2 linked regions of the Neodiprion lecontei genome follow. Each later gene encodes a partner of the first gene's protein in a complex. Links are inferred from orthologs where the notes say so. Each region holds a gene or a part of one and is shown on either strand. Other genes may lie near its edges.

Evidence for each region.
Region 2: DNA-directed RNA polymerase III subunit RPC3 (region 1) and DNA-directed RNA polymerase III subunit RPC4 share a complex: the UniProt entries of both Homo sapiens proteins name them as parts of the RNA polymerase III complex. The link is inferred for Neodiprion lecontei from reciprocal best matches to the Homo sapiens genes POLR3C and POLR3D.

What each region holds. Positions count from the first base shown.
Region 1 is NC_060265.1:6,940,069-6,947,036, forward strand, and holds DNA-directed RNA polymerase III subunit RPC3, read left to right. Parts: upstream 1-2,389; 5' UTR 2,390-2,646; coding exon 2,647-2,793; intron 2,794-2,891; coding exon 2,892-3,010; intron 3,011-3,099; coding exon 3,100-3,230; intron 3,231-3,322; coding exon 3,323-3,578; intron 3,579-3,890; coding exon 3,891-4,099; intron 4,100-4,241; coding exon 4,242-4,395; intron 4,396-4,462; coding exon 4,463-4,823; intron 4,824-4,916; coding exon 4,917-5,057; 3' UTR 5,058-5,073; downstream 5,074-6,968. UniProt on the Homo sapiens protein: DNA-dependent RNA polymerase catalyzes the transcription of DNA into RNA using the four ribonucleoside triphosphates as substrates.
Region 2 is NC_060260.1:24,685,833-24,694,056, forward strand, and holds DNA-directed RNA polymerase III subunit RPC4, read left to right. Parts: upstream 1-2,157; 5' UTR 2,158-2,181; intron 2,182-3,271; exon of another isoform or gene 3,272-3,586; intron 3,587-3,800; 5' UTR 3,801-3,802; coding exon 3,803-4,044; intron 4,045-4,115; coding exon 4,116-4,227; intron 4,228-4,312; coding exon 4,313-4,574; intron 4,575-4,667; coding exon 4,668-4,766; intron 4,767-5,068; coding exon 5,069-5,190; intron 5,191-5,289; coding exon 5,290-5,535; intron 5,536-5,624; coding exon 5,625-5,744; 3' UTR 5,745-6,247; downstream 6,248-8,224. Other genes in the region: serine/arginine repetitive matrix protein 1, read right to left, coding at 6,606-6,818, 6,995-7,491. UniProt on the Homo sapiens protein: DNA-dependent RNA polymerase catalyzes the transcription of DNA into RNA using the four ribonucleoside triphosphates as substrates.

The sequences.
Region 1 (6,968 bases):
AAATTTTATTACCGGACTGACAGCTACCGAATTTGGGCTTGCGCGAAAAACGAATTGAAATAATTTATTGTAAACATGAACCAGGAACCACGGAGCGCTTATCCTGGAAGTCGAGAAATTTTATTACCGAACTGACAGTTACCGAATTTGGGCTTGCGCGAAAAACGAATTGAAATAATTTATTGTAAACGTGAACCAGGAACCACGGAGCGCTTATCCTGGAAGTCGAGAAATTTTATTAGCGGACTGACAGCTACCGAATTTGGGCTTGCGCGAAAAACGAATTGAAATAATTTATTGTAAACGTGAACCAGGAACCACGGAGCGCTTATCCTGGAAGTCGAGAAATTTTATTAGCGGACTGACAGCTACCGAATTTGGGTTTGCGCGAAAAACGAATTGAAATAATTTATTGTAAACGTGAACCAGGAACCACGGAGCGCTTATCCTGGAAGTCGAGAAATTTTATTAGCGGACTGACAGCTACCGAATTTGGGGTTGCGCGAAAAACGAATTGAAATAATTTATTGTAAACGTGAACCAGGAACCACGGAGCGCTTATCCTGGAAGTCGAGAAATTTTATTAGCGGACTGACAGCTACTGAATATGGGCTTGCGCGAAAAACGAATTGAAATAATTTATTGTAAACGTGAACCAGGAACCACGGAGCGCTTATCCTAGAAGTCGAGAAATTTTATTAGCGGACTGACAGCTACCGAATTTGGGGTTGCTCGAAAAACGAATTGAAATAATTTATTGTAAACGTGAATCAGGAACCACGGAGCGCTTATCCTGGAAGTCGAGTTTCACCGCGTAGCGGACCCGAAGCGCGGGATCCGGGAGGTTGAGAACCCGGTACTCGAAATACGTAGCGGACCCGAAGCGCGGGATCCGTGAGGTTGAGAACCCGGTACTCGAAATTTGCGGAGCGCGACTCTCATGCGTCCGCTCTACTGCGCGGTTGTGTCCCGACTGAGGAATTCGGCTAGCTGATTTTGAATTGGTGACGTCACTTTCTGAACGTCCGACATCCAAACTATGGTTTCGAACTTTGATACTATGTATGATGATGTATGATGTACGATGTATGATGTATGATGTATGATGATATGATATGATGTATAATGCTTTTAGTCTTCACGTTTCATACAAGAAATACACACTTCATCTCTCCTGCCGATTCCAGACTCAAGCGGCCAGGCCCTTCGATGGTCCGCCGTTGACTGAAGATATATCCTTCAGTTAACGGGTCAGCTAATAACGCAGTCGTTCTGCGATAGTTGGATGATGATTGCGAAGACTGTGTTACTCGGAAAGTGAATGCACCCAGCATACGGCCAGCATCATATCGAAATCGTTAACTCTCCGATGATCTGCAATAAGTTCTCAACTCTACAATTGAAACATCTCAGGGAGCGCAAGCGCACGATGATTTTCGGTTGTCACATCAAATCCCATTGGGGCAACTGTCTACATATTTTTCAGTCAACGTAGGAGGTGTTAGGAGGTGGTTGGAGGTGTTCGGAAATGGTAGGCGGTGGTTGACGCCGGCAGGAGGTGGCAGGGGGTGGTAGGAGGTGTTCGGAAATGGTGCGAGGTAATCGGTGGCAGTTGGGGGTGTTTGGCGGTGGATGCTCCACGCTTCTTGTCACGGGGATGATCGAGCTGATCGACATTTCTTAGTCGCAGTGGACAAGTAGTCTTACGTACTAACTTTGTACCGACTCATTCTCACGCTATCACATCTACACTGCTTTGGCTGCTACGAATGTTGGCGCGTGCCCGTTAGGTAGAGTTGATAGAGCAGAACCCTCTTACGCTCCCAGGTCCACCTGGGCCCACTCGCCCACCGAAAACTGTTCACCAAAATTTACCCAGGGGTATCCGTCTTCATATTCTTTAGTCAACGTTGATAATACGTGAAACTGCTAATACCCCCAAACCTGCCTAAACCCGCCCAATTGCTACAAAAAATAACTCAGAGCTGTGTGTCTGTATATATCTTTAATCAAAGCTGATGTTGCGTCTAACTCTATTTTCGTGATCAAATTCTGTTTAAACTCGAGGCTCTATCAGACAATGTTAGTCACACATTAACTAGGAGTGTATTCCGAAATATACTTGCAGTACTCATAGACATATATGTCTGTGGCAGTTCTGCACGTACTGGCAATCGCGTTCCGAAATCACGCGATAGCGTACTGCCGCCAGTCAGTGACGTCACCAAATTTGTGACGTTCTTGACGCTACTGCGGCTGGGACGTGAGGTAGTTGAAGTACTTGAGAGATGGCCACGTTCTCGGTGTAGTTGGAAAGTAGCGTTCAGATTTTACTGCGACTGGCAATTCGGAGTAAAATCGGAAAGCAGTTCGCAGTTGACTGCGTGACGTCACGGTCGGCAGTACCGAAAGTATATTTCGGAATACACCCTAGAGTTTTTCGAGACTAGGCTAGTGCTGCATGATGTTGGCAGCCTTGAAGTTGTTCATGACCCAAAATTCGGCTACTTTCAGTCGACGCTCATTGTAACCTCAAAACATTCCGATTTATTTAGAGTGAATTTAGGTAAAGCTAAGTTATGTTTGAGGTTAGACCCGTGTTTATACCTCAAGTTTATGTCAAATACTGTATTTAATGTGTGAAACATGTCAATCTACCTTTGTAAATTATGTTCCGTTTTATTGCTGGAACATTTTGGACCTGTCGTGCAAACTGTGGGTGACGATTTACTGAAATACGATCGGAGGTCACTACGAGCTATAAAAGCAGCTGTAAATCTGCCGCTTAACAAAGTACGGCTTCGTCAATTTCAGATAATTTGGAAAGAAAGAACGTATTAATTGGAATTAAATCTTATCCCATTAATCTAAACTCTTCTATTTATATACAGATCAAGGAGGTGATGTGCGTTCTTATAAAGTATGGATTTGTTGAACACAGCAAAAATGATAAACTCAACGAATATATTATTGTTCACGAGCGAATTTTGATGATCCTGCGATATCCAAGGTATCGTGCTCAATGCTTTGATTAAAATAGCTGCAAGTTATATTCGATTTATTGTCCTGTTATTCTTCTCAAACTAAACTTCCTTCAAGGTACATGTTTTTCGTCAAAAGTCTGCTGGGTGACGAAGCTGAAATTATGCTAGAAGAGCTATTAAGACGAGGCTACGAAACAGCTTCGAAAATAATAGTCAAAACTTACCAAAGACTGAAGCAACTATCGAGTGAGCGATTGTTTTTAAAAGATTTATTCAACTCTTCGTTGTTTGATTGCCATATGTACATGTAAATTCTGTAATTTTTGTCAAATCATCAGGTGACCGCCAACAACCGGTGGAAATATTGAAAGAAAAATTTGAGTCACTGGTCAAGCATCAATTTTTAATGCGTTCCATTATTACGCCAGCTGCTCTAGAGGACCCTATAGATTTAAACGTAGAAAAGCTTGACTTTAGTTTCCCAGATCTTAATCTCCTGGCACTTTCTCGAATGGCCAATGGCATCGCAGCAAACCCTGGAGACAATAATATATATTGGCGCATTAATTTCGACAGATTCACTCAAGATATCAGGTAACAATTCAAAAACCGCGAGAAATTATCAACTTGCATGAATAAAGTCATTTGCATTCATTAACTTTCTAATGAGACTGAAGTTAGTAATGTTAGAGTAACCAAATGTTGAAATAAACGTCCACATTTCACAGCTTCATATCAACTGACGGAGTTCAATTTACCAAATACAAGTTTGTCCGTCTGTATTATGGTTTATTAAATTCCAGAAAATTTCAATATTGCAAAATAACGAGTTTTTATGAAACTGCGTTGTTACGATAACGCTAAGAACTTCAACCTCATACTTTATCGTGGTATATTACATTTCAGGGATCAAATCATGGTCTCTGCTATCACTAAGCGTTTTGATGATAATGCCGGAGAGCTAATGAGGCAAATGCTGAATCTAATGTACTTGCGCACAGCTGAGTGGAGGGCAACGTCAAATCCTATACCTTACGTGGAAATAAAGGATGCAGTTAGAAAGTTGAAATATCCCATGTTAATTCAACACCTAGATCAATATTTGTGCCTTATTGGTCAGTAAATTATTTTGATTATTGACCTGATATCAGTCACTGACAACGACCATTCAAATAGCATTATATCTTCAGAATCTTGAATCTCTAATTCCAGAGATATTAAATGAAAAGAAAAAAAAATGAAATCGTGTAATTGCAGAGGAAGATACTTGCCAGTTTTTAAAAAGGGTTGGAGATAGCGGAGGTGGACAGTTTAGCATAAACATGAAACAAGCTTTCACACAGTTAACGTGGACTACTCTGGAGAATATTGTCCTTGAACGATTCGGATCAAAGGCTGCAAGAATATTTAGGTCAGTATTCAACATATTACCAAACAGCACTCATATAACGTGTAAGTAATAAGATGTTCTGTCGCAGATTGGTACGTACAAGAAAATACGTCGAGCAGGAACAGATCCAGCAGTTGGCGATGATACCTGCTAAGGAAGCTAAGCATTTAACGTACACGTTGCTGCAGGAGAATTATATCCATGTACAAGAATTAAAGAAGACGACGGTTTCGAATGCCCCGACAAAAATATTCTTCCTTTTTCACATAGACCTTGATCAGGTTGTCGGAATGGAAATAAGTCACTGCTATCATGCTCTTTATAATACCATACAGCGGCGGGATCACGAAAACACGGTGAATAAGAGGATGATTGAGAAACACTTGCGGGTACAAACGCTCACCAGTAACTTGAAGGAACATGGGGCCACAGAAGAACAGTTAAACGATGTCGGTATTTTGATAGATATAATTAAGTCTTTAACCCGATTTTAAGGAATGCTTATTAAGCTGAAATTGATTTGTTTCCCGTTATATTTACAGATAGCGGAAATGATGACCCCGTCTGAAAAGTTAGAACTGGGCAAAGTACAAGACATAATTAAAAAACTTGGTGCCAGCGAACTACAGATAGATGAAACGTTATTTTTGTTGACAATGTATTCACGGTATCAAGAAAAATAAAAACTTTGATATTCAATCACGTTGTTTGACAATGAGACAAGAATAATGAACAAATTTCATAAAGCCAGTGACCTCGGCGATCCAAGAGAATCTCGAAAGATGACTACCATTGGTAACATAGAGAAAACTAGGAGTGCTTCGATGGCATTCTCGGGATCCAAATATTTTTTTGTTTGTAAGGGCGTTCAAATAAGATTCCAACCCAATGAAATGCTCATAAACATATAAATACATTATACTGTAGATCAAAGCGATGTAAATAAATGAACAAGAACGCTGGTAAGTTTCAAGTAAGTGTGAGAAAATAAATATAACTGTTCAACTGTTCGTTTTATAAATAACCAAGAAGTTTAGTGACTTCATAAATTTCAAGACTTATACGCTATAGTTTCGTTTACGTACCGTTTGTTTTTCGCCAAATCTCGGAATCGTTACATTATTGCATCACGAGCAGACACATCATATTGCGCGCACAGACATATTATTGCAGAAAAACTTTGGCCAATAACTGAAGTAAAAAGGTAATAAAAATAATTTACGACAACCGATATAACATATTGTTTATTTCATACGGGTATTTTATTAATATGTAATGATAATAATAATAATAAAAATAATATTAATAATAATGATTACGCATGTAAAATACTAACAACAAAGAGTACCTAACTTTTAAATTATTACAATAAATATAATGATATATCTGTGTGTTTATTATTATATATATATATGTACACATATATATATACAGATATATATATATATATGTATGTATGTACCGATAGTACTGCTGGTACTGCTCTCCTAAATATCAGGATACAACAGTTCAGCATTTGAGTGTCGCTATTAACTGCTGGAAAGGTCGTACTTTTATGTAAGAAGTACCCGAGATTGGGGTGGAAATCTGTTAAAGATTTTTCAACGATTTCATATAATTGTGACTGATTGAAACAAAAATAATGATAATAATAATAATAATAATACATTCATCATGGATATGTGAACCTTGTCGATTCGGTAATTGAGAAACATAACATTCGTAAGTGTAATATTATTGTTAATAAATCTTAAAAATTGCAACTCATGCGAGAACCGCGTATAATAATGACTTTTATACATCGCACCGTTACAGGCAAATTATCATAAAAATAACGTCTTGTTGCACAATTAATCGGCACTCTGTGAAACTAAACGAGTATAAAACGATATTATGGGCAATCAATGCGGATAATAAACGCTGTGCGTTATGGCGTTTATGATTATCATACTCGACTAGGTATTCGTCGCAAAACGTGGATTTTTTAACTATACTTCATGATAAAATATAATTATAGGTATATATACATCACGAATCTCATCACTCGCCTGGATGCAGAAGCGATAATTTTTCCGGCGTTTTCTTGGATTAAATAATATTCATTATTATATCGTCCACCCAAACACTCTTTTACCGGACAGTAATTAATACTCCCGTAGGAACAAATCAATTGTAAATTCTATCTATGCATTATGTGTGCGCAATTGTATGCAGTGATGAAAATCTAAACATGGGTTTCAACAGATATCAAGATTCAATTAGGATTAGCTGCGTTTCACATAAAATCCGGATGGTTCAACATATTATATTAATAGTAATAATAATGGCAATAGTATTAATGATAATAATAATAATAGTAATAATAATATGTTTTGATTTTGTGCCTTTGATTTATTCGTTTTTTGTTTTTTGCTTTATTCTTAAATATATATATATATATATAATGTTCTTTTCTCCCTCTACAAGTATTATAGAATTGTAGATTACGAGTGAATTATTATAGTTTATCGTAGGTGTGCAGTGTTTAGATGAACGTTGGAACGTAGGTATAGATTCCTTACACGGTGACCAAACTCAACAAAAATTAAAGATGG
Region 2 (8,224 bases), on another chromosome or scaffold:
TTCTAGTCAGCAATTGAAAATGGGCGATTTATTTGAAAAAAAACAAATTCCACCTTGAATTGAAGATGGCAGCTGAAGTTACTGCAGAATCTTATGGAAATTCTTGATTCGGACTACCGACGACTTCCCCTCAACGATGAGAAAAAGAAAATTGTGCTATAGAAAAATTTCATCTTCAAATGTTCTTTTTTTTACGTACCTGTAGTTAGCGACTGGATTAATAACAAAACGATAAAAGCACCGGAGTGCAAAGAACAAGAGACACCCTTGAGTCGCAAAAGTCGTCTAACAGACTTTTTCGATTTCTAGACGTCTTTGTTGTTCGGATGTTTTTTGGGCCCCTGCATAATTGTACACACGGGTGGAAAATGGAGTCCCTGGTGGGACAGGCGACGCCGATTGTCGCTACGTTCGTTTTATTATAGCTGGTGGATCCGTGTCGCTGATCGTAGACAAAACGATCGGCCACGGAGCTAGAGGGTCGAATTGGTTTTCAGGACTCCGAGGGGACTCTATAGACGCGTGATAGAATAGCGAGGGGCCAACTCATCTGGATCCTCGACACTCTATATCGCAGCTCTTTACGTCCGATCTTTTTTCTTTTTCATTCCTCTCGACAAATTCACGGCCGGTTATATATCACGTACGTACGTACCGATTATTTTTATTACGAATAGAAACGTGCGGAAGGGCGTTCGCTTCACATGCCCTATATTACTGCAGCGCATCACGATCACGTGTGATTTATTGCAAGTCAACTTTTCACGGCTACTGATGATATAAATAGACATATATATATATATACATACCTATATAGATATACATATAACGCTGAGATTAACGTTCGTCATTTTTCTTGTCTAGAGTCACTTGTTATATTTCCGCTACACAGACGCAGTCCCCTGAAACCTGTAGCTGATGATCGCGTAATGCGGGATCACCGACTGAATTTCTATCATGTGTCTTTTAATAAGAATAAAAAATTCATCGAGTATAAGTTCAAATTAGGAATAACGAAAATTTTCATACAGAACGTCATTCTTATTCAGAAACGATTGTTAATCAATTCCGCAATCGTGTTGGCGTTGGACTTAAAATCTGATAGTTAGATTGTTGTAAACTCGTGTTATTGTTACATAAGCAACCGTTAGTTTCTGATTTGAATTTTGGAACGTAATAAAACTTGAGTAATATGAACAACAGGACGACTGGAATAAAACCGGTATTACAATTTCTCGTAGCACGAAAACGTATGCATTTTAGTCATGAAATTTAATTACCACAGTGTCTGCGAAATCCTAGAAACTCGGATGCAAATATACCGTATACTAAGGTTTATTCTGTAATCTGAGAATTTTGCATCCACCTTTCCAAATTTTGAAATTCTGAGGTAAGAATCGAATGTAAGTCACCCGAATGATCTGAGTTTACAATTATAGACACAGTCAATTGCAATAACGGAATTTCACCTCTGAAAATTTGAAAAATTTGAGAAAAAGCATTCCAAAGTTTTACGGTAAGTATGTCAACACCCGATATAATGGATTTCAAAACAGTCGTCAAATAACTGTCGCATGGACCAGAGACGCTGCTCGATCGTATCGCACTCAATGCTGCAAGACTATTCCTTAGAAGTTTGATATATTCTTGTAACTTCACACGGAACCCGTCACACCTTTGTTTTAACGATTAGGCCAGCGATATATTGTAATATGTATTACCGTCCGCACGTCAGGAATGCGCATGCAAAAGCATGGCTTACATGATTATAGGTATACAAACTACTGTACACGTATACACACGTGCTATGTATACAGACCACGAAGAATACTTCAAATTAGATAACGCTGCACGTTTCGCGCGGTGGCGCAGAGAATTATCTTTCAAGTTCCATAACACCGGAGACGGGGTAATAATATTTCTCATTTTTCTCATTCTGCATTGTTTACAATGCATGCATAAGATAACCTGCAGTTGGTAGACATATACAGCCAGTATCCACTATCCAATATCCACTCAACTTGAATCTCGTTGCCGACCTTTGCCGAGCTAATATATCATATAACAGCCAACCTGGACATAGATCCTCCAATGCAATATATATGTGTATTATATAAAAGTATTACCAGCGAAGCAAGAAAGGTCACGTCCTGAGGGTATAATTTGAAAAATAGAATCGAGGTAAGTTATACTGACTTGTGTGAAATACGATTTCAAAAATAATGGAAAAGCATGCAGTTGGTAGGAGAACGAAAATAATTATACTACATCAATTTTTCATTGAGTCTTCGATATTTTATGCCAGTAAATTGCTTCAGGAAAGAAATATTCTACTATGTACTACGAATAAATTGAAACCAGGCCTAGTAATAGAAACATATTTTTCAAATTACAATGCAAATTTTTTGAATCGCATAGCCGTGTGAATAAAGATTAATTTTGTCAATGCGCAGGTATATTGAACTTTTGTTTGCCAATGGAGTGTAAAGCATACACTGTGTAAAAGTATTGATATTAGATCAGCTTCGACAATTCTGCAAAGTTCAAAAACCATCCCATCAAATACAGTATGCAACAAACCAAACGCACCTGTCCTTTTTACTTTCTGTAGTAAACTATTCCAATTTTTCCTACACAATGAAACCAATAGCAACTTAAGTCACCGATGAAAAATCAAGCCCTCGCAGTTAGAGACATAAGTTTACTAAGAACCCAAAGTGAAACAATGAGTTCTACTTAATTGTTAACTCGTAAAATATTTATTTTGTTGTGAGGTCAAGTACTTGATATTATTTTCAGCAAGATTAATTTTAGTACGTTTAAAAACTACATTTGGAAAAATAAACTATGTTCGATGTAGATATGTTTTCCATACGGAAAATTTATATTTAAACCATTAAATAAGTTTAAAGATCGTAGATTACTGGAATGTACACGATTGCGAAAGAAGTATTGCAGCACCCTTGTATTTCAGAAGCATATAAAAATCATTTGCCAATAATTATTGCGCATATTTCAGAATGATAATACAGTGATAATAACCATAAATCGAGCGAACTCAATCGAAATAATTCTGTACTCCCATTAAGCGCAGAACTTCGTTTACTTCGAACTGATATCATTAAGAAGTTGTAAATCTCTTTTATCTCTAGCGTGTCAAAGCGTAAGGACAGTTTGTAAATTTCGCACTCGTTAAAAAATGACAGATCGTCCATGTTCCGATTGGAGGACGACAGGCCAATCAACATTCGTCCGCTCGGTCGGTATACAACACACATGTGTAGGCAACTGTACGTATGCACACGTGCCCCACAGACGCCTGGCCTAACAATAAGTCTAAACAAATAAACTATTCTAGTGGACAGTGGCTAATTTCAACTGTCGCAGACTTAAATATTTTCTATTATAACATAACGGCAGTACATCACTATATTTGGTAAACAGATCAGCATTGGATTTTGAACCAGTCCGAGTCAACACGCCGAATACACGTTATATCCAATTTTAGGTTAGCTTGAGTAAGGATATGTTACTATCGCAAACGGCTATTTGAGTGAAAACGCAATCGATTAATATTATTTTTCAGGTAACTTGTATCTTGGATTAATAGCGTGAGAGAATGTCAGTTAATTTAGCAATTAAATTAACTAAATTTACTGAAATTCTCTAGTACTATCAGCGTAGATTTACTCGTCATGCCATAAAACTGCTTGACTGCTTTTATTTCTTTGTTTTCTAGTTTTATATAAACTGAACTGTTATCCAGGTTCATGACTGACTTTTAATTGGATTTCCTTTAGAAATGGACTCGGATAAATCAAAAAACAGCAGAGAACTGGATCCAAAAATAAAGATCAAAGTAGAACCGGGTACATCAGGATCAACGGTGTTAACAAATGTGAAAATTGAGGCTGGACTACCTTCTACGAGGCTTACTTCATTTAGATCGCCACGAGATTGGACACTAGGCGGGCATGTGAAACTAGAAAAACCAAAAAAACTGTATACTCCAAACTTGAACGTACAACGAAATAAAGCTAAAGAGTAAGCAGGAATCACATTTATACTATTGTTATCAAGGCATCATAGATGTAGTAATCTGTTTTACTTTGCAGTGATCACACTACTGTAAAAAATAATACTAAAGTTCCAAGAGAAAGAGGCCGCGGAAGAGGACAAAGTACAAGAGGTAGAGGCAAAGGAAAAGTCTCGGATAACATTATCCAGGTTAGGTTATCTTTGTTAATCAGAAGTTGGATTACAGTGTTCAAACATTCATGGTTGATTTTTTGTATATATGTACTCTTTGCAGACTGACGGAGTATTCTCCAGTGGTATAGCAGATTCTTCACGAGCCAAAAAAAGATTCAGTAGTTACAGAGATGGTAGCAATTTGAGCGGCAATCGAAGTGCCAGTACTGTTTTAGAAAAACAAAAATTAAATTTAAACCAGAAGATTGATAAAGCTGAAGAAGAAGAGAAACTCAAGCACCTGCTTCGAGATGATTTTATCGAAAATGGAGCTGTACCAGATATGGAAAATGCACCAGTGATGCTACCTATGGCTGATGATGGTCAGTATCAAACCTATTTTAATTAGCCTTCATGCAAGTTTGATGAGACAACTAAACTTCTGTCACTTTTTTTTTGTTCATTTATCATTCCAGCACAGTTATACAAGAAAGAATTCAAGGAAGAACCCCAAGTAATAAAGGCTGATGGATTAGATGAAGATGTGAAACCAGTAATCTTAGAAAACGGAAAAGGTACGTCACAAAAATTATTTTGTAGGAGTTTCCAGATCTATGGAATAAAAAATCTTCAAACAAATGGCAGAAGTAAAATACTTACGGACTGCACATCGATTTGAATCATCAAATTTTAAAGTTCTTAAATTAATTAATTTCTTAATCATAAAATTTGGACTGATTGAAGTACTTCAAATTTTTTCAGTATTGAAACAAATAATCTTCTAAGAGGAAAAAAAATTATGTCGTGCATGATTACTGTCATTCATTACGAAACGTTGCAATAATAATTAATTCTTAAAATTTTCCATTCTTTCCAGTATCAGAAGAACATAACACAGCAAAAACTTCGTTACCGAAGAAATCGCTAACAGAGGAGAAAAAACTTATCACTATTCCACAAATTGTTGCAAACGAAGCAAATAATTACATTTTACTACAGGTACAACCGATGAAATTTTTTTTTTTTTTTTCACTTTGCACAGATATGCCTTGGACTGAACCTTATCCTGTGGCGTAAATTATACGTTGTACTTTACAGTTTCCCGATTGCCTACCTGGACTTAAAACAGATGATGAATTGAGTGATCCAAAAGCGAGAAGAACAACCGATTTAGGTTCAGCAAATCCTAGTGATATCAATCCCAAGACTGAATACTGTACGCTGAAAAACTTGAAGGAAGGAATGCTAGGGAAATTACAAATACTAAAATCTGGACAAGCGAGACTTGTTTTAGGGGATAACAAATTAATTGTAGATGTGGGCTCGCACATCAGTTTCAGACAAGTAAGTTCAAGTGAAAAAATTCTGTGATCTTATCAACGTCATCATGTGGGTAAAGGCGTGCATTTGTTGAAACTTTTCTTTTGTTTCAGGATCTAATCGCTGCCAAATTGGACCTTGAAAAACTTGAAGGCGAACTTATTAACCTTGGCTCAGTCAGCAGTACCCTTATTTGCTTACCCGACTGGGAATCAATGTTAGATAATCTTTGAACTTATGAGAAAAGCAAATTTCAATTGTTTTAACTTATTAATTGTACTAGATATTATTCTGGCTGTTGTAAAAATTAAACGAAATCTGAAATTCGAAGCCCTCTCTTGCGTGGGATATCGCAATTGAAGTACTCTTTAAAAAAATCGCAAGTTCATGAAAATCATATTCCATAAAAAAAAAACTCATAAAATATAGTGCGGAAACATTGGGTGATAAAATTGAGGCCCCGTAAATTTTTTCCTTGTATTATTAAGTTAATTATTTCACATCTCAACTAAAATTTCTAGTGATAATATGATATTTATGTATTTAAACGTGGAAAAAAAGTTACAAGTTTTTCTTAGTTGAAACAGTTTTTATTTCACGGACACGCGATTCATACGATTTCACAATGTTAGGTATGCTCTTCGATTGTCACACATCCTTTCACATGTCAACTTAATTTACAAATTAATTGATTATTTCACACTGCATGGTATGAACACTTTTTGGCAATCAGAAACGTAAAAAAAACTTTTACCTCTAGTTTGAATTTCTGATTGCATGAGAATTACAACAAAAAACGAGTTGTAAAATTACTAGCATAGATACAATCAACTATTGTAAGTTTTAGTTTTAGTTTTTTATGGTACTTTTTTTTTATAAATACCAAATTATTTTTTAATGGTAATATCAAAGAAGTTGCCTCAAAAATTGCAACCGCAGTCTGTTAAAATACAAAACCGTTAATTATCAGTTTTGTTTGTTGGATCGGGTGAATCGTTACTTTGGCATAGCCAACCTAAGAAATAACAGCCTATAATTATTTGAAATACGCCAACTTCTCTGACATTATCTTGCATGAATTACGCACAATCCATTTAGTCACTTTGTTCAATACTGTGTCCTTTCTTCATAGATTTCAAGGCTTTTTCGCGTAGTTTTTTTTCGAGTTCTTCCGTGTTCCCCTCACTTGCATCCGATTCTTCAGACTCTACAGCCTTCTTTTTTTTATGCTTACGATGTTTCTTATGCTTTTTGTGTTTTTTGTGCTTTTTATCTTTCTTTTTCTTCTTTTCCTCCACTTCACTATCCTGTTATCCAAGAAAAACAAGAGAAACAAAAAACAAATTAGATTCAGCGAAAGTTTGGCTTCCGGTATCTTCAATTCATAACATTTATGTCGTATTAGACCTACACAGTTATTTTATGCAAGGCAGAATCCAAGTAACTTAATTTATATGCTACCCAAAAATCATTAAATTCTCACCTCAGATTCGCTTGTACTTGTCTTCATTTTCTTTTTGCGTTTCTTCTTTACCTTCTCGTCGTCACTGCTATCTTCTACCTTTTTCTTTTTCTTACTTTCTCGCTCTACAATTTCTTCATCGTCCGAACTGGAATCCCGCTTGGCTTTCTTTAATTTGGACCTTCCCTCATCGTCGCTGGTTGATTCTTTTCTCGACTTCCTACTTCTCGACTTTGCATCCTCAGACGAGCTGTCTCGACGCTTTCTCGACTTTTTCGGTTCATCGTCAGAGCTGGAGTCTTTTTTCGACTTTCTTGACTTAGATTTCTCCTCTTCTAATTTTGATATTTTCTTCAATTTCATTTCATCTTCATCAGACGTGGAATCTTTTCGCACCTTTTTAGTTTTTCGTAGATCTTCCTCAATTTCCCTCTTTGACCGCTTTCTTGATTCTATGTCGCCACTGGTATCACGTTTTCGAGTATCCCTGCGATCCTTACTACGATCATCCAGCAAATCTGTTCAATGAAAATTTGGACATACATGAATTTAAATCAATGACATTGAAATTGCGTTCAACTTTGTCATCAATTTTGTGGATGATTAAATTGCTTATATTATATTATTAATTCACAATATCACATCCATTTTGTGTGAAAGTATAAACGATTAATCATAGTGAGTTTCAAAGTTTCACATCAATGGTTCTCTATTTTTAATTAGATAAGACCTTAGTAATTTGCAACGGATTTGCAATACAGTAGAACCACGTTTATCCGAGGTAATAAGGGGAGAGCATACCTCGGATGAGTGAAATCTCGGATGATACGGAAAACATGTGCAATCCAAGCCAATGTAGTTCACAAGAAACTTTCACAAGTTTATGCGTGTTCAAACAATGTAGCAACACAAAACTATTTTATACATGTCGGAGAAGAATAAAGAGGATACATCATCAAGTGAATTCGAAACTAACTTTGAATGAGTCCGCCGTATCAAGCATCAAGCATTATTCAACATGTGTTAAGAAATTTTCGTCTCTTCAAGCACCAGTAAGAATATAATGTGTAGGTGAAATGTTTACATCTGAAATTCTTGCTTCTTGATGAGAAGCCACGTAAGACAAGCAAAGCCGTCTAATGAATGATATGCGGATGTGCAAATCATTTTTTTACAAGAAGAATATTGTTGAAAGAATGTAAAATTCGAAAATTTGGTGATTTCGAAAAATCAACGATGGAGCCAGTAATC